Cricetulus griseus: one gene and its partners. The protein of the gene in region 1 interacts with the protein of each later gene in a biochemical or structural test. Links are inferred from orthologs where the notes say so. Each region holds a gene or a part of one and is shown on either strand. Other genes may lie near its edges.

What was found. The genes of interacting proteins can lie anywhere in the genome.
Region 2: the proteins of Gtf2i (region 1) and Btk form a complex in vitro, tested with the Homo sapiens proteins (4 studies listed by BioGRID and IntAct, with this or other methods). The link is inferred for Cricetulus griseus from reciprocal best matches to the Homo sapiens genes GTF2I and BTK.
Region 3: the proteins of Gtf2i (region 1) and Usf1 form a complex in vitro, tested with the Homo sapiens proteins (2 studies listed by BioGRID). The link is inferred for Cricetulus griseus from reciprocal best matches to the Homo sapiens genes GTF2I and USF1.

Annotation. Positions count from the first base shown.
Region 1 is NC_048597.1:113,345,036-113,350,387, reverse strand, and holds part of Gtf2i (general transcription factor II-I), read left to right. Parts: intron 1-17; coding exon 18-92; intron 93-1,766; coding exon 1,767-1,868; intron 1,869-2,610; coding exon 2,611-2,676; intron 2,677-2,932; coding exon 2,933-3,116; intron 3,117-3,973; coding exon 3,974-4,029; intron 4,030-4,312; coding exon 4,313-4,393; intron 4,394-5,352. UniProt on the Homo sapiens protein: Interacts with the basal transcription machinery by coordinating the formation of a multiprotein complex at the C-FOS promoter, and linking specific signal responsive activator complexes.
Region 2 is NC_048604.1:45,525,085-45,531,183, forward strand, and holds the start of Btk (tyrosine-protein kinase BTK), read left to right. Parts: upstream 1-2,408; coding exon 2,409-2,549; intron 2,550-3,441; coding exon 3,442-3,540; intron 3,541-6,099. UniProt on the Homo sapiens protein: Non-receptor tyrosine kinase indispensable for B lymphocyte development, differentiation and signaling. Binding of antigen to the B-cell antigen receptor (BCR) triggers signaling that ultimately leads to B-cell activation.
Region 3 is NC_048598.1:21,482,114-21,488,040, reverse strand, and holds the start of Usf1 (upstream stimulatory factor 1), read left to right. Parts: upstream 1-2,236; 5' UTR 2,237-2,391; intron 2,392-3,015; exon of another isoform or gene 3,016-3,047; intron 3,048-3,087; exon of another isoform or gene 3,088-3,265; intron 3,266-5,927. Other genes in the region: Arhgap30 (rho GTPase-activating protein 30), read left to right, coding at 1-275.

The DNA of each region.
Region 1 (5,352 bases):
TGCACTTTGCCTTACAGCATTGCAGTCCCCAAAACGACCACGAAGCCCTGGGAGCAACTCCAAGGTTCCTGAGATTGAAGTCACGGTGGAAGGTGAGCCGTCCCACACTTTTCTCTTGATTCTTTACCTTACAGTTGTGTGGACTCAGTAACTCTGCTGCCTTTGAGGTTTTGTCTGAAAAACAACTGATGCTAAATTTATTAATTTTTTCTTTTTAATTGTTTTTCAAGACAGAGTTTCTCTGTGTAACAACCTTGTCTGTCCTGGGACTCGCTTGGTAGACCAGGCTGGCTTCAAACTCACTGAGATTCACCTACCTCTGCCTCCCAAGTGCTGGGACTAAAGGCTTGAACCACCACCACCCAGCGAATATTTTGCTTTTTAATGCATGAGTATGTATGTGTGCTCTCGAGTGTGTGTGCATGCGTGTGTGGGCGTTCATTGTTACAGGCTATCTCAGGTGTCACCCTCAGGAACACTGTCCATGTGCTTTGAGATAGGTCCCCTTTTTGGACCTTGACCTAGCTGGGTAGTCTAGACTGGCTGCTCTTGAGCCCCAGGGATCCATGTAGCTAGGGATCAAACTTTGGTGACTCAGCTACCTCCCTGGCATAATTTATGACTGTTTGTAATCTGAGGGTCCTGTGAGGGTTACTTGAGGGGAACCCCTTGGATTGTTTATCCATAGTCAGGCAGACCAAGCCCAGAGAGATGTTTCTCATCTTTTTCCTGGTGGTTTTTCCTACTTTTGATGAAATGCATTTATAGGTGGTTTGAATAACAGTGTGCTTGTTCAGAGCAGCTCTGTGTCTTCACATATATTCTCTTCCGGCCTCTGGTGTAGGCCTGTGAACTTTGGAAGCTCATTGTCTAAAACGGCTGACATAGTAACAGGCAGCCCTGAACCCTGGAACTGCTAGGCACATTGTTTTCATCGACGCAGAAGGAAGCAACTGCCTAGGGGACAGTTGATTCTTTTTGATCCTCACTTTCTGTATCCTCTCAGTTGTCCCCACTTAGTTGTCTTGCATACTTGCACAGAGCCCTTTTTCTCAAAGAAAAGGGAATCATGTTAAGTGATTAGTAAATAATGCATCCTAGCTACCAGAGTAAACAGCCCTGAGGAGCAGTGGCCCACAGGGAAGCAGTCTTCCTTGCTGCTTTTACAGAAGATCTGAGAAGGGTGACTTGTCCCCAGGACTCTGGCCCTTCCTTCCTTGTAAAGTGCAGGTGATGTTCCTTTTAGTCAAAACACTTCAACAAGAAGCCAAGTCAAACCCGGGCTGAGCCCAGGTGACCTGAGAAACATCAGCAGTGAGGGATGAACGGACGCTACGTCAGCCTGAGGTTTCATCCTAAGGTTCTGGTTCACAAAGGAGATGACACTGCCTTTGGTCTACTTGAGGCAGGGACAGAGGATGCTCTTTCCTGGACGGCAGGCATGGGAAGAGAGGGGAAGAGAGTGTTGATCATGCAAAGCCGTAGCCTGGTTGTACATTTTGTTCCTGTTTGTGCTGGATCTCAGGTGCATTTTGACATCTGTTGCCAGTTTCCTAGGGAAAGCTGAGTTGCTGAGTTTAGAATCAGAATGGGTAGGGGGTATGAGGGAGAGGAGAGGAAGGGAGGGAGAGAGAGAGAGAGAGAGAGAGAGAGAGAGAGAGAGAGAGAGAGAGAGAGAGAGAGCGCTGTATTTTCTGGTACATGGTACATGCTAACCACAGATGAGCACACCTGGTAACTGTGGTTCGCCTTTGAATTTTCTCTAGGCCCCAACAACAACAGTCCGCAAACCTCCACCGTTCGAACTCCTACCCAGACCAATGGTTCAAATGTTCCCTTCAAGCCTCGAGGGAGAGAGTTTTCCTTTGGTAAATACATCTCTTATTTTTCTTGATTTCAGCATTTCACATAAAAAGAATTAGTGTGGTGTGTCAGCAGGACAGTGGTTTTTCTTGGGTGAGTCAGTGTGTGTCAGGTACTGACATGCAGCAAGAGCCAGGTTGCCTGTGCTATGGTGTGAGTCTTCCTATAGGCCGTGAGCGAAGTGTGTACCCCAGGGGTGCCTGAGGATTGTAAGTTGGGTTACTGCATGTACCCAGAGCTAGAGCTGGCGTGTGGTAGACACTGTAACAGGTTCTTTTGTTCTTCATTTCAGCGTGGGTCACAGTGTTGGTAACCCAGTCTAACAGTTTAGTTTAGTTATATGAGGATTGGAAGGACAAGCACAGCAGCCGTATTAAGAACCTGCATGTTTCTTATATAAAGACGTAGAATCATGTATGTATACATGATGTGAATGGAGTAACACTGTCTACGGGACACGGATGCACTAGCGGGCAAGGGAGAGAGCATGCGCAGCGCACAGATTCTGTCACACAGTGACACGGTGCACATGAAGGGAACAACCTGCTGTGTGTTCTCCTGTGCTCTGTAAAGCTGCAAAATAGATGAAATATGAAGCCAGGGCATTGGCGTGCTCCTTTAGTCCCAGCACACGGGAGGCAGATAGAGTGACCGAAGAAACTATTCAGTCAATGAAACGCTAATGTGAAAATCCCTGCCCTCCCCGGGGGACCCTTGCTGACGGCGGCTGCTGCTCTCTACTCGCAGAGGCCTGGAACGCCAAAATCACAGACCTGAAGCAGAAAGTGGAAAACCTCTTCAATGAAAAATGCGGTAGGTTTGTTCAGAAGCATTGAATATGAAGTGGTTCTCTAATAGAATTGGTCTAATTTGATATTTAAATGTTTTTGGAAATGTGTGGGTTTCAGCTTTCCATTTCTACCCATTCTACTATCAAGAATTCTAAGAATATTTTACAAAATTAAAATGAATATGATTTTTCAAATAAATAAGGATTTGTAGCTGCTGCAGAGTGTTGCAAATGGCTGTTCTAAGTCGTGCTATGGAATGAGAGTGTCCTGTGTTACAGGGGAAGCTCTTGGCCTTAAACAGGCCGTGAAAGTGCCATTTGCATTGTTCGAGTCCTTCCCGGAAGACTTCTATGTAGAAGGCTTACCTGAGGGGGTGCCCTTCCGGCGACCATCCACATTTGGCATTCCAAGGCTGGAGAAGATCCTCCGGAACAAGGCCAAGATAAAGTTCATCATTAAAAAGTGAGGACCGGGGCTGGAGAGATGGCTCAGAGCACCGGTTGTTCTTCCAGAGGTCCTGAGTTCAATTCCCAGCAACTACATGGTGGCTCACAACCATCTGTAATGAGATCTGGTTCCCTCTTCTGGTGTGCAGATTTACATGGAAGCATACATAATAAATAAATAAAGTCTTTAAAAAAAAAATAGTGAGGACCTTCAGTTTGAGAAGATGTCCAAGGGCTGGCTTCACAGTGCGGTGCTCTGTCAAAGAGCTAAGTTCTTATAGGATGGAGAGACAACCCAGTGGTTAAGAGTGCTTCCTGCACAGCTTTGAGAACCTGAATTCAGATGCCAACTCCCTCATAACAAGCTGGGGGTAGCCTGGGACCATAGTGCTGGGGGTTGGGCAGAGGCTGGAGGGTCGTTGGGGCCCGCTGCCTGGGGTGGGAATGTGAGCCGTGGGTTCTGGGAGAGATCCTCTGTGAAAGAAATAAGAGGAATAGAGGACACCTGAAGCCCTCCTCTGGCTTGTGCATGCAGCACACGTGTGTACATGCAGCACAGGCCCTTTTATTTGTTTGGAGGCAGGGTGTTACTTGCATACACACTCTTCATGCATGTACCCAGGCTGCAGGCTTCTGCTCTTGGGTCTCATACTGATTCTCAGTATGTGCTCTGCCCTTGGGAAGAAAATGGCAGTGACATCAGGGTGGCCAGAGAGGGTCCAACAGCCGTAGATGCTGGTGTGATTGGTCTGCTTGGGCCCAGGTTGCTTCCAAGTGTGGCACATGATTTGCAGAGCTGCAGGCTCCAGCGATTCTTCCCTGTGTGCCTTGCTCTGAGTTAACCAGCCCATGCCCTTTTCCTCTTGATTGTAGACCTGAGATGTTCGAGACGGCCATCAAAGAGAGCACCTCTTCCAAAAGCCCTCCAAGTGAGTGTCCTTTGCAAGCAGTACCGTGACAGCGTGGCTCTTGGGCAGTCATCGGTTCTAGAGCAGCAAACACTGTGCAGTGTTGCTCTGCAGAAAGATGGGCTGTCAGAAAGTCTGCCATCTTTAGTGTCTTACTGGAATACATCCAGCATATAAGTACCTGCCCTACGGGGCCAGGCTGAGGCCAGCTCATTGCTGACGAAGCATGCGGCTGTGGGCTATTAGAGAAAATTTTGACTATGTATGTTTTGCCTAAACCCTAATCTTTCATTTTTGCTTACAGGGAAGATAAACTCATCACCCAGCGTTAATACTACTGCATCAGGTGTGGAAGACCTTAACATCATTCAGGTGACAATTCCAGGTATGATTTCTGCCTGCATCATGTAATCTTTTGGACTCCAGATTCCTTCAGGGACAGCTCACGTAGTACAGTGTGTTGTGTGCTTTGACCAAACCATCCCTCCATCAACCTGGCTGCACAGGGTCTGACCTAAATTCAGCCCTTCTCATTACTTCATGTCTCAGTTCTTCAAAAAGTCTCTGTGGAGGCTGGAGAGATGGCTCAGTGGTTAAGAGCACTGGCTGTTCCTGAAGACTCGGGTTTGATTCCCAGTACCTGCATGATGGCTCACAACCATTTATAACTACACTCCCATGGGACCTTACAACTCTACTGACCACCTTGGGCATTGGGCACACACATGTTGCATGGGCCAAACACCCATGCATATAAAAGAAATCTTTAAAGAATAAAATATTCTTTTAGCCAGGCGGTGCTGGCACACACCTTTAATTTTAATCTCTGAGTTTGAGGACAGCCAGGGCCACATAGGGAAATCCTGTCCTGAAAAACCAAAATAAGTAAATAAGATTCCTTTAATAAACAGCCTTTATGAAACAGCAAAGATGTTTGCTTAACAGGAATGGAGTTGGATCCTCTTAAGTTGGTTTTAGAACATTTTTTATTTTTCCCTTTTTTAAATTTTATGGTTATTTTTGTCTTGGTGATGTCATAATGTGGAAATACCCCCCTCCCACACACACTTTTTTTTTTTTAGGACAGAGTTTCTGTATTAGCTCTGGCTGTCTTAGAACTCACTAGGTAGACCAGGCTTGTCTCGAAATCACAGAGATTCATCTGCCTCTGCCTCCCAGGTGTTGGGACTAAAGGTGTGTGCCACCACTGTATAATTCTGGCTGGCTTGGAACTCACAAGGGATCCACTTGCCTCTGCTTCCTGAATGCTTGGGTTAAAGGTGTCCATTACCATGCCTGACTTGAAAACCCTTTCTAGAAAATATGTGAGTCAGATGCAAGTGC
Region 2 (6,099 bases), on another chromosome or scaffold:
CTGAAAAAAAAATCAGCTTTTCAGAGAAAAAGTAAACTGCTGATTTTACTTATCTGGTTTTCACAGTGCCACCAAAAGCAAAAAGATTTAGTGAAAATACATCTCCACACTCCTTGCAAGGAAAAAGGAAAGAGCCCCTGCTTCCAACAAAGCCCTGAGGAGATCTGATGAATCATTTTACTCTCTGTCCTCTTTCACTTGTGTTTCTTTTTTTAAAAAAATAATTTATTTAACTTTATTTTATGTGCATTTATGTGAAGGTATCAGATCCCCTGGAACTGGACAGTTGTGAGCTGCCATGTGGGTGCTGGGAATTGAACTCGAGTCCTCTGGAAGAGCAGTCAGTGATCTTAACCTCTGAGCCATCTCTCCAGCCTTCACTTGTGTTTCTAATGAAAGTTTAGAATTGGTAAAATTGTGCACAAACTTTAAGTAGATTGATGTGGTGTGTGTGTGTGTCTGTCTGTCTGTGTGTCTGTCTATCTGAAGAAGTCATTAGTGAGCCATGCCTGGTGCTGCATGCCTATAATCTAGATAGCGCTCTAGATGCTAAGGCAGCAGGACAGGCCTGTCTGGGCCACCACATGAGTTGAAAGCCAGCATGAGATACACAGGGAGATACTGTCTCCAAAATATAATAAAAATTTAAAAGAGGCTAGTAATGTGCCTCAGTGGTTGAGTCTCCATCATGCAAGCCTCTGTGTTCCAAAGACTCTGATGGTTTTATGAAATTTTCTAGAGTATTTAAGCATATTGTTCTTCCTATATGAATACACATCTTTCTTTTCTTTTTTCTTTCTTTTTTTGTTTTTTCAAGATAGAGTTTCTCTGTGCTTTTGGAGGTTGTCCTGGAACTAGCTCTTGTAGACCAGGTTGATCTTGAACTCACAGAGATCTGCCCTCCTCTGCCTCCTGAGTGCTGGATTAAAGGCGTGCGCCACCAATGCCCGGCTTACACCTAGCATCCTTAAAAGCAACATAGTTACAATGCTTTTCTCTTAGAAAAAGACAATTTATTTGTAAAATTTTATTGTATGATCATGAGTGTTTGCCTGTGTGTACATATGTGCAGCGTAAGGATTCAGGCATTATGCTGTCCTGCGCCTGTCACCTGGCAGAATGCACTCAGGCAGTACCCTGGTCAGCCCAGGGTTCCATGATTGCGTAGTCTGCATGCAGGTGCAAAGGACCCCTTTAAAAAGAAAGACCCCGCCCACTTATGCTCTCTTTTCCGGTTCTCTTTTTCCAGCTCTCCCTGCTCTTCTCTCCCTGCTCTCTCTTTCCAGCTGTCTTCCCCGCGGTTCCCCTGGGGCAGGCAGGACGTTTCCTGTCTCCCTCTTCGTTTCTGTCCTCTCTGTGTGTCTCTGCCTCTTTACCTCTTTTCTTTTTCCTTCCTCCTCCCTCCCCTTTCCAATAAAACTTCTCACTTAAGCTCTGTCTGCCTAGCATGTCCGTCCCTGTCCCCCTGCCACCCTCCCCCTGCTTCCCGCCTGGTCACCCTTGCCTGCCATGGAATCCACCAAGGTCCCCCATGCAAGGTTCCCTTCAAGCTTTATCGCAACATGTACCACTTGCATGTCTGGTGTCCATGGAGGTCAGAAGAAGGCGCCGAATATCCTAGAACTGGAGTTACGGGTGGGTGCAAGCCATGGTATGGGTGCTGGAAACGGAAGGCTGCAGGTTACATCACTTTTACCTGGTGCCATCTAAAGGGAATCATCTGTGGAAACCGTAATGGGAGCGAGAGCCGAAGCACTAATATACTGTAGTAAAACGGTTTTCAACTTGGAAACAAAGCTTCACTCCTTTATAACCCAGACAGTAAGGCATGAACTAAATCAGTCGAATGGCAGCTATTGTGTGTTCATGAGTACAGGTGAACCCACCAATGTTCTTTTGTCTACAGACCTGAATTGGTCAGCTTTTGAAAAAAATTACATTTATTGTTCAGGAAACTGGGAACTGAAAGTCCAGTATCTGCCTTAGTGAAATTCTGGTACCTGAATGATTCCTTCTGAGAATATCAGGGTCAAGAGTTTCACAGACATTTTTGCCATTTACAGATTCTGGCCGTGTGTCATAAAAAGGTTAAGTAGTTTAGAGTGGTGTCTAGACATTGCTAAACAACCTAGTATATGTCGTGGATTATCTAGAACATTGGTTCCCTTATGTAAGAAGCCAGGCTTTGTTCAGTGTGCATTCACTGATTCTGAAATTTGACAGAGTTGGGGACTTTGGAAGAAGGAGGTCAGGAAAAATGTTTCCTTGCTAGTGTTGCACGTGAGGGTTTCATTTAAAACAGGTAGCAGGGCAGAGGTAGAACCAGGAGGGATTAGAGATGACTATGCTAGATCCTCAAAACCTTGCATTATCCACAGCACCCAGGTGAGATCTGGAGAGAGGAAGCCATGGCTGCAGTGATCCTGGAGAGCATCTTTCTGAAGCGCTCCCAACAGAAAAAGAAAACCTCACCTTTAAACTTTAAGAAGCGCCTATTTCTCTTGACTGTGCAAAAACTTTCCTACTATGAGTATGACTTTGAACGTGGGGTAAGTTTCCCAAACGTGAAGTCTGGATTTCTCCATTTCAAGGATTGGATCTTAGATATGTGAGACATGAGATAGGTCATCCATGGTAGAAGGGGAGGTGTATGTGGGGGTAGAAATAAAATAGACTTAAGTACTTCAAACTCTTAAAAAATATTTCTTAGACTGGGAGTAGGTGCAGTCAAGCCAGGGAAAAATTCAAGAGTGTTAGAAGCTGTTCAGAGTGTCTTCCATGGAATCTTGCGGTTGGTAAAAGCTCTTTACATGCCTCTTGAGAATACAATCCAAGGATTCAAAGTTGCCTTTTTTATTTCTATTCCCTGTTGTCATTTTGTTTGGTTTGGTTTTTTGGTGGTGGTGGTGGGTTTTTTTGTTGTTGTTTTGTTTTTTGTTTTTGTTTTTGTTTTTGTTTTTTGAGACAGGGTTTCTCTGTGTAACAGTCCTGGCTGTCCTGGAACTTGCTTTGTAGACCAGGCTGCCCTCGAACTTACTGAGAACCCCTGCCCTTCAGTGCTGGGATTAAAGGTGTGTGGCACCACCACCCAGCCTGCCTTTTTTGTTTCTTGTGACGAAATTGACTATAATCATTTATTCTTCCTTGTCATCTTCCTCCTATTTGGTATTTAAAGACTAGATAAATGTTGGATTATTTTTTACTTTAAAAATGACAGGTTTTGCCAGGTACAATGGCACACACTAATGCCAGCACTCGGGTCTACATAGTGAGTTCCAGGCCAGCCAGGGCTACATAGTGAGACCCCAAACAAAGAGAAACCAGGATCTGTTAGAATATGTGAGCTACCTACCACAGAGGATGATAAGATAACAATGTGTGTAAACGTCTGAACGCTTGATCATTCTTAATCTTCCTGCGTTTTCTTCCTCCTTCCTTCAGAGAAGAGGCAGTAAGAAAGGTTCAATAGATGTTGAGAAGATCACCTGCGTTGAGACAGTAGTTCCTGAAAAAAATCCTCCACCAGAAAGACAGATTCCGGTAAGAAGCTAGTGTCAAAGAGGGGGAGCTGCAGTTTGTAAGGCGCTTGGAACTTGCAAATACTCCAAATAGAATGGTGGTGTTGTAGTGCATTGTAGAACAGTTTTGTTTCTTTAGAAACTCTTCATCAGGAGCCAGTGAGATTGCCAAGTGGGTAAGGGAAATTGCTGGCAAGTCTGATGACTTGAGTTCTATCCCTTGAACCTCACACAGTGGAAGGAGAGAACCAACTCCTGAAAATTGTCTGCTTACCTCCACATGAGAACTGTGGTACGAGTGTGGACACACACACACACACGAAACACATAGAAAGCAAAAATGTAAGAAAGAGAAAGAAAGGAAGGAAGAAAGAAAGAAAGAAAGAAAGAAAAGCTTGTCATTTAGGCAATGGTTCAGTGGTAAAGTGCTTGCCAGGCAAGAATCCCCAGAACCCACCTAAAGCCAGACCCAGGAGTGTATTCGCACCTGAAATCTCAGCCCTCCTGTGGCAACATGGGAGGTGGAGACAGGAGAATTCTAGAAACTCAAGGTCCAATTAGTCTGGCATATGCAACGACTGAAAAAGTGACCATGTCTCAAAGAAGGTGGAAGATGAGGACTGACACTGGAAGCTATCCTCTGACCCCCACAGGCATGCTCTGGAAAATAAGTACGTACAGACAGACAAACAGACAGACAGACAGACAGACAGACAGACAGAAAGAGAGAGAGAGAGAGATTAAAAAAGAATTTGCCAAAAGAGAATTTGCTTGCTTTTTTTGAAAATATATTTTATTTTTAATTGTGTGTGTGAGTTGAGTGTGTGCATTGTGTGTATACAGAGGCCAGTGTGTGTGTGTGTGTGTGTGTGTGTGTGTGTGTGTGTGTGTGTGTGTGTGTTGAGTGTGTGCATTGTGTGTATACAAAGGCCAGCGTCAGATCCCTGAGTTAGAATTTCAGGTGGTTGTGAGTGGACGTGTCTTCTTGGGACCAAGCTTGGATCCTCTGGGAGAATAGTTATGTACTCTTAACCAGTGAGCCATCTTTCCAGCCCGAAAAGTCTTCAGTCTTCCATGAATTGGTGATAACAAGTCAGCTTTATTCTTCCTGAATTCCCAGGCTGTTTCCAAGGAATAGCACCGGATGATTACTGAATTGATTTTTTTGTCATTTTATTTTTCCTGTTTATAAGATTATGCATATCTAGGATAGAAAATGGAAAAATATAGAAATCACAAAACTAAGATAAAAAGATATATAAACCCATTATTCATTTAAATAATAATTATCATTCTGGTATATACAGGTTTAAATATGTTTTCTCCACTAGCGATACACATGCACCTATATATTATATAACTAGAATACAATGCTACTATATATCTTGCTTTGCAAGCTACCTGTATTTTTGGGGGGAGGGAGTTGGCATTTTAGATTTATTTATTTATTTTCTGGGTGTGTATATGTATGTATAAGTGTGTGTAAATGTATGTAAACCTGTTTGTGTGCATGTGGAAGCCAGAGGTCCAAGTCAGGTAAGTGTCTTTCTCTGTCCCTCTCCTTCTTCTTTTCCCTTTAAAATGTTTTAATTAATTATCTATCTGTCTATTTGAGACTATGGAGCCCCCTGAGTGCTAGGATTAAAGGCGTGCATCAGCATGCTTGGCTAAACTTTTGATGTATCTATCTGTCTGTCTATATGTAATCTGTCTATCAATTTCCACTACGGAGTTCCTGGAGAGTGAACTCAGGTATTCAGGCTTGGTGACAAGTGCCTTTACACTCTGAGCCAGTTATTTGGCCCTTTATACCTTATTTTTTGTTCTGTTTTGTTTTTTTTGTTTGTTTGTTTTTTAGGCAGGGTTTCTCTGTGGCTTTGGAAGCTGTCCTGGAACTAGCTCTTGTAGACCAGGCTGGTCTTGAACTCACAGAGATCTGCCTGCCTCTGCATCCTGAGTGCTGGGATTAAAGGTGTGTGCCATCAATGCCCAGCTCCACCTTATTTTTTTAACTACTTTATTATTTTATGTGTTTGGGTGTTTTGGCTGTATGTTTGTCTGTGTACCATGTGTGTGTGCAGTACCTGAGGAGACCAGAAGGGGGAAGGCAGATTCCCTGGAACTGGAGTTACAGACTTGTAAGTTGCCGTGTTGGTGTTAGGCATCAAACCTGGGTCCTCTGCAAAAGCAGCCAGTGTTCTTAACTGCTGAGTCATATCTTCAGCACCCCACCCTTATTTTTTTAAGGTTATTATTTTGTGAATGTTTGCATGCATGGCACCACATACATGCCTGGTATCTGGTGCCTGTGGAGGCCAGAACACTGCATCAGATCTAGTGTAGGATCCTATGGAACTGAAGTTACAGGCAATTGTGAACCTCCATGTAGGTACTGGGAACCAAATCTGAGTCTTTTGAAGGTTAACAAGAGCTTTTGACTGCTGAGCCATCTTCAGCCCCAAACATTTTTAAGGTACTTGAGTGTTTTGCCTGCATGGATATAAATGCAATTTGTGCATGCCTGTTATGAGTGGAGGCCAGAAGAGGGTGTTGGATTCACTGGACCTGAAGTTACAGGTGT
Region 3 (5,927 bases), on another chromosome or scaffold:
CTGAGGCTCAGGGAATTCGGCGGACCCAGACTTGTACTGGGGGTGGTGATTATAGCCTCAACTCTAGAACCTCTCCTTGTAGCATGACTCCTGCCCATTCTTCCCGGCCCCTTAGCTGTCTGGAACTCCCACCTGAAGGCACAGAAGGGTCTGAGCCCAGGGGTCGGTTTAGTTTGCCACCTAGAGAACTTCAGCTTCCTGTCCCTCTTATGTCCCCTCAGCGTCAGACATATGCATTTGAAACACAGACTAACCGTGGGAAAGAAGGGCTGTGATTAGGATGGGACAAGAGGGACCAGAAAATTATCATCAATCTCTGGAACCCCTGCCTAGCTGTCTTTACACCCTCAGTAGCTGCAATGCCCCATTCCAAAGGCTTGGGTCCTCCAGCTATCTGTTTTGACCATGGAGGCACTGCCTTGGTGGGTTCACCTTGAGTTTCTGTTAGACACAAAGCACTTATCTCTTAGCAGAGTCTTAAGAAATATAGGAAGGCCTTGTTACTCATGAAGTTGTGATTATTAACGAAACATACGGTAGGTAGAAACTTATTTTTTTCTTAAATTTAAATACATAGGGGGAATTCCAGCCAAACTCCTGCCCTCTTCTGAGGCTGTGAACTTCTCTTCATAGAAGCCTAGGGTAGATATGGAGAATACAGGGCTAGATACAGAGTTGCTCACCCCTGATTTGCTCCCAGATCCTTGGCTGTCTCCTGACCCTTTTAGCTCCATTAGGAGAAACATGTCCAAGAAGCTCTGTGAAGGCCTCAGTATTCACTGGAGGAAATGGATGACATCCTCTGCCTTCACTTATTTGCAGAAGAGGTCCTGTACAGACCTCTCTGGTCTTTCTTTTTCCCATTAGAATAACCACCTCCTCCCATTTCAGAAAAGAGGATGTGTGGTCATCACTCTGGTCCTGGCACTGCTTCTCTGCACAGGTGGGGGCTATAGGCCCCATTTAGCAATGATAGCTGTTTGATAATAAAAGTTGATTGTTTTTACACTTAAATAAGTGTATGAACTTACTCTTATTAAAGTCTTGGGGGGAAAGGTATCACATTTGAATGCTGCCGAAATGTATATATCTTGTTTAGAGTTTCTTCCTCAGTTGTCACGGAAACCTGTAGTTAGAAAGTAGAACTGGGCTTGTGGTGGTCAAGAAATGGGGAAGAGAAACCTGTATTTACATAATGTTCATCCAATGCCAGGAATTGGGGTGTTCATAAAGACTTTGCCCTTGAATTTATTTAATCCACTTATTTTGGTGAAGTTGGTATTAGTATTTCCATTTTACAGATGAGGAAACTAAGCTGTAATTAAGTGAAAATGCTTATCAAAGATCTCAGAATTAGGAAGTGACAGTTTCCGGTGCTTGGTGGCACATGTCCTTTAATCCTAGCACTCAGGAGGTAGAGGCTGTATCGGGTGTGTGTGTGTGTAATTTGTGTGTGTGTTGGGGGGGGGCAAATCTACGTGACTTCCGGGACAGCCTGATCTACATAAGATAGTTAAGAACCACACCACGCCGGGCGGTGGTGGCACACGCCTTTAATCCCAGCACTCGGGAGGCAGAGGCAGGCGGATCTCTGTGAGTTCGAGACCAGTCTGGTCTACAAGAGCTAGTTCCAGAACAGCCTCCAAAGCCACAGAGAAACCCTGTCTTGAAAAAAAAAAAAAAGAAAGAAAAGAAAGAAAACCACACCACATAGTGATCCTGTCTCAAGAAAAGTGTCAGCTGTGGATTTGAGATCAGGGTCTGATGAATTCTAGCTATTTATACTTCACTATTCCAAAACCATTAAAAAATGGTAATCAAAAATGTCACATATGAGCCTCAGAAAAACTGGAAGACATGAGGTCTGACGCTAGTACAAAGGCATAAATAAACCCAGATCTACATATGTCCAGAGATGTCCCAGTGTCCACCTGGAAACCCCTCAAAATGATGCCCTGATCCAAGATGGCTTCCCAAATTGCCCTTGTTAAAGATGGCCCCTACTTCCTTTTAGCGGAACTAAAAAGGCTCCGCCTAGCACCAAGATGGAAGTAAAATTTAGTCGTTTGTTTGTTGTCGTTGTTGTTGTTTCTGGTTCTTGCTGCAAACAGCTAGAACTCCAGCGACGTCCGCGAGGACAGCGCTTCTCTTGGGGGCCTCTAAAAACTCACAAACCCACGTCGGCTTTAGCGCGCATCCCAGTCTGGAGCGAACGGAAATGGGGCGGTTCCGGGGCGGTCGGTAGGCAGGGCGGGTCGAGGAGACACTTCCGCCCCTCACCAACATGGCCGCAGGCCGCGATTGCGCATGAGCAGCTGTCTATGGAGAGACCTAGATCCAAAGAGGGAGAACGCTGCCGGGGGAAATCGGCGACTGGAGCGGCCCGGGTCGGTGAGTGCGTCGGAGCCAGACGGAGCCTGGGGACGAGGTGGAGCGGCGAGGCGGGGCAGCTTGGCCTTGCTTCATTTCCCCCGGGCAGGCAGCGCCGGGGCTCGAAGCCTTTGTTTTGGGGGAGGGGGCCGTGCCTGGCTCTTTATCTCCTGCCCTGCTTTGTGGGCCGAGCTCGCTCCCCGGCCGGGAGTGCACACGTCCCGCCCTCCCGTGGTGTCCCGCCGCGGGCCGCAGCTGCCAGCCGCAGGCCTGGGGGGGGACCCCGGCGTCCTTCCCTGTCTCCTTTGCGGAGCAGCTGGGGCGCGGGGCGAGCCGGGCGAGCCGGGCGAGCGGGGCGAGCGGGGCTGGGCCGACGGGGTCACCGCGTGGGCTTCGGGGCTCGCGCCTGACGGGTGGTGCTCAGCTCCCCGAGCGCCTCCCGCTAGTTGGTGGGCCTGCAGGGAGACGCCTCGTTCTCAGGCAAGGTCCTGGCGCCTGGATTCTTTCAGAACTTGATCTTTTTATTTTTTTTGCTTTTGCTTTTGCGTCTGTGCTTGACGAGGGCGTTTGCTTGGCCCTCCTTTTGAGCGTGCAAACCACAACATCCTATGCTGATTTCCGTGTCACATATTCTTAAATGCTCAGGAAACGCTTCCGGATGTATAACCAAGATTTGAGTAAGTAGCCTACCGCCGTTGCTGGGTGGCCTGCGAAGTTGCTCTGACAGCTGTGGGCTATACAGTTGCTTCCTGTGCGTTGCCTTCTCTTCATTGCCTGCTTCTGCAGGCCATGCAACAAGCTTCGGAGGGGCTCTTCCTCCTGGCCTTTGAGGATAGAGACCTAGGTGGTCCCTAGACACTGGTGCTTGCCTCCCTTTGCAACGTTACTTTGGACGGTCAGTTTCACTTTCAGTTCCTTTTTGTTGTTATTTTTGTTACCATTTTCTTTGCTCTCGGGCTTTCCAAGGCTTATTATCCGCTAAACTAAGATTTTCTTTGGATTAGAAAGGTTTGGAGGATTTTATGGGTGGAAAACTTACAAAAATCTTGTCCTTTCTTGTTGAGAATATTTTATTGCTTTGTACTGTGCAGCTGTTTCTTTCTGGAGGCATCTGTCTGCTCAGTTCTTTGTTTTTCTGTTCTCTGGCGGGGTGTCAAGAGTCCTAAGGCAGAAACATTGTAGATGGATTCCTCCCCCATTGTCTTTTCTCCTTCAGAACCCCGAGCCTGGATTTTTTCCCCCTTCCTCCTGAGGCTTAGTTGATTTGGAGTTGTCATGGCAACATTTTAGCAACTGTGTTTCTCTACAGGAAGCCTTGATGAATAAAATAGAGGAGCCTTGAATATGATGCACTTGGGCTTTAGAGTTTGTAACAGATGCTGTAAATCTGAACTCCCCCAAAACAAGATCCCTGACAGTAGAATCATACCCAAGAGCCAAATCTAGGTTTTGTGGTTAGTGATGGTTTTCCAGTGGCAAAAAGAGGGTTCCAGTTTTTCCCTTTTGAGATTGAGGACTGGAATTTCTTTTTTGTTGTTATTGTTTTGTTTTATTTTGAGACAGGATCTCTCTGTATATACCCCTGGCTGTCTTAGAACTCAGTATATAGACCAGGCTGGCCTGGAATTCAGAGATCCACCTGTCTCTGCCTTCCGAGTGCTGGGACTAAAGGACCAAAATGCCTGGTGAGGACTAAAATTTCTTTCTTTGGTTTTTCAAGACAAGGTTTCTCTGTGTAGTCCTGGCTGTCCTGGAACTCACTCTGTAGACCAGGCTGGCCTTTAACTCAGAGATCTGCCTGCCTCTTGCCCCTGTCTCTGCCACCACCGCCCTGCTTAGAATTTCTTATTGTACAGTTTGTGTCTAAGAAGGGCACCATGGTGGGTGTTATTTGGTAGTGGTGGCCTAAACATGACCCTAACTATTCCTATGAAACTATAGTAGCTTTAGTAATACTCTATAATTGCTTCAATAATGCACCTTGAAACATACTATTTCTCGGCCTTCTAGTATAATTATCTCCTACCCCTCGGAGGTGGAATGAATATGGAGGAGCCGCCAGGCGGTGGCAGTGCTAGCCTTTAATCCCAACACTCAGGGAGGCAGAGGCAGGCAGGATCTCTGTTGGAGGCCAGCCTGGTCTACAAGTGAGTTCCAGGACATCCAGAGCTACACAGAGACACCCAGTTGAAACTAAAACCAACCAACCAACCAATAGATAAATAAATAAGGAGTAAAGAACATTATTTAAAAAGTTGCTTTTTAAAAATGTTATAGCCGGGTGTTGGTGGCTCACTCCTTTAATCGCAGCACTCAGGGAGGCAGAGGCAGGTGAATCTCTATGAGTTTGAGACCAGCCTGGTCTACAGGGCGAGTCAGAAATTTAACATTAGTTATGACAATTCGGCCTTATCTTATGCTTGTTTTTATTTTCTTTTTATTTATCCTATGTATCTTTTTACATCAAGTATTTTGATCCCATTCATTTCCCTGCCCCCTTCAAATCCATTTTGCACCCCTCCCCAAATAATATAAAATTTCAGAGAAAAAAGGGGGGAGGAATAATTTAAAATCTCATCAAGGAAGCTGAGGTGTGACATAGTGAGTCACACAGCATACCCCCTTTTTTTGTCCATATCTCTTTACTTGCAAGTGTTCATTGCAAAGAATCATTGGTCTGGTTTGAGGCCTCTGCTTTCTGCTACACTATTAATGCTGGGCCCTCACTGGAACTCCTCTTGGTTGTCCTGTTGCCCTGTGTTGTGGGTATCCTGAAGCTTTGGGTCTGAGGGTCAGGTCTTCATATGCTCCAGCAGATCATGGGTGGAGTGGGGCTATGCCGTTTCTTTCTAGCTCTTATAACTTATTAACCTGTTTCTCTTCATCTACGTTTTGCCTTGGGGCTTTTTACCTTTCTTTCATTCTATATATCTTACTTTCCTGTTTCCTCTGTCTGTCTGGCAGTGCCTGACTTCTGGCCCTGGGCTGTCCCCCTCTTACTCCCTTGTTCTCTTTTCTCCAAGCCTAGATCCTCTTACTTATTTTATCTGCCTGAAGCCCTGCCTATCCTTCTATTGTCTAGCTATTGGCTGTTCAGCTTTTTATTATACCAATCAGGTGTCTTAGGAAGGCAAGATGAAACAGCAACGCATCTTTACATGGTTTAACAAATGCAGCACATTCTTACAGAATTAGACAAGTGCAACATAAGCAAATGGAACACATCTTTGCCTAGTTACAATAATATTCCACATCACGTGCCCTGTAGTCCATGTTGGCCTTGAACTCAGAGAATTCCTGCCTGCCTTTATCTCCCCAGTGCTGGGATTAAAGGCGTGCACTACTACTGCCCAGTTTTCTGAGCCATCTTAATAGCCTGATTTTTCTTTTTTGTTTGAGGACAGCCTTGGTGTGTCAGTCCTTGCCTTTCCACCTTGTTGGAGACAGTCTTCATTGCTGCATTTGCCACCCAGCTTCCAGTATCTCTGCTTCTCATCTGTCCATCGAGGTGTACTGTGACTTACAGATGCCCTCACTACAGCATCCCTTTCTTGTGT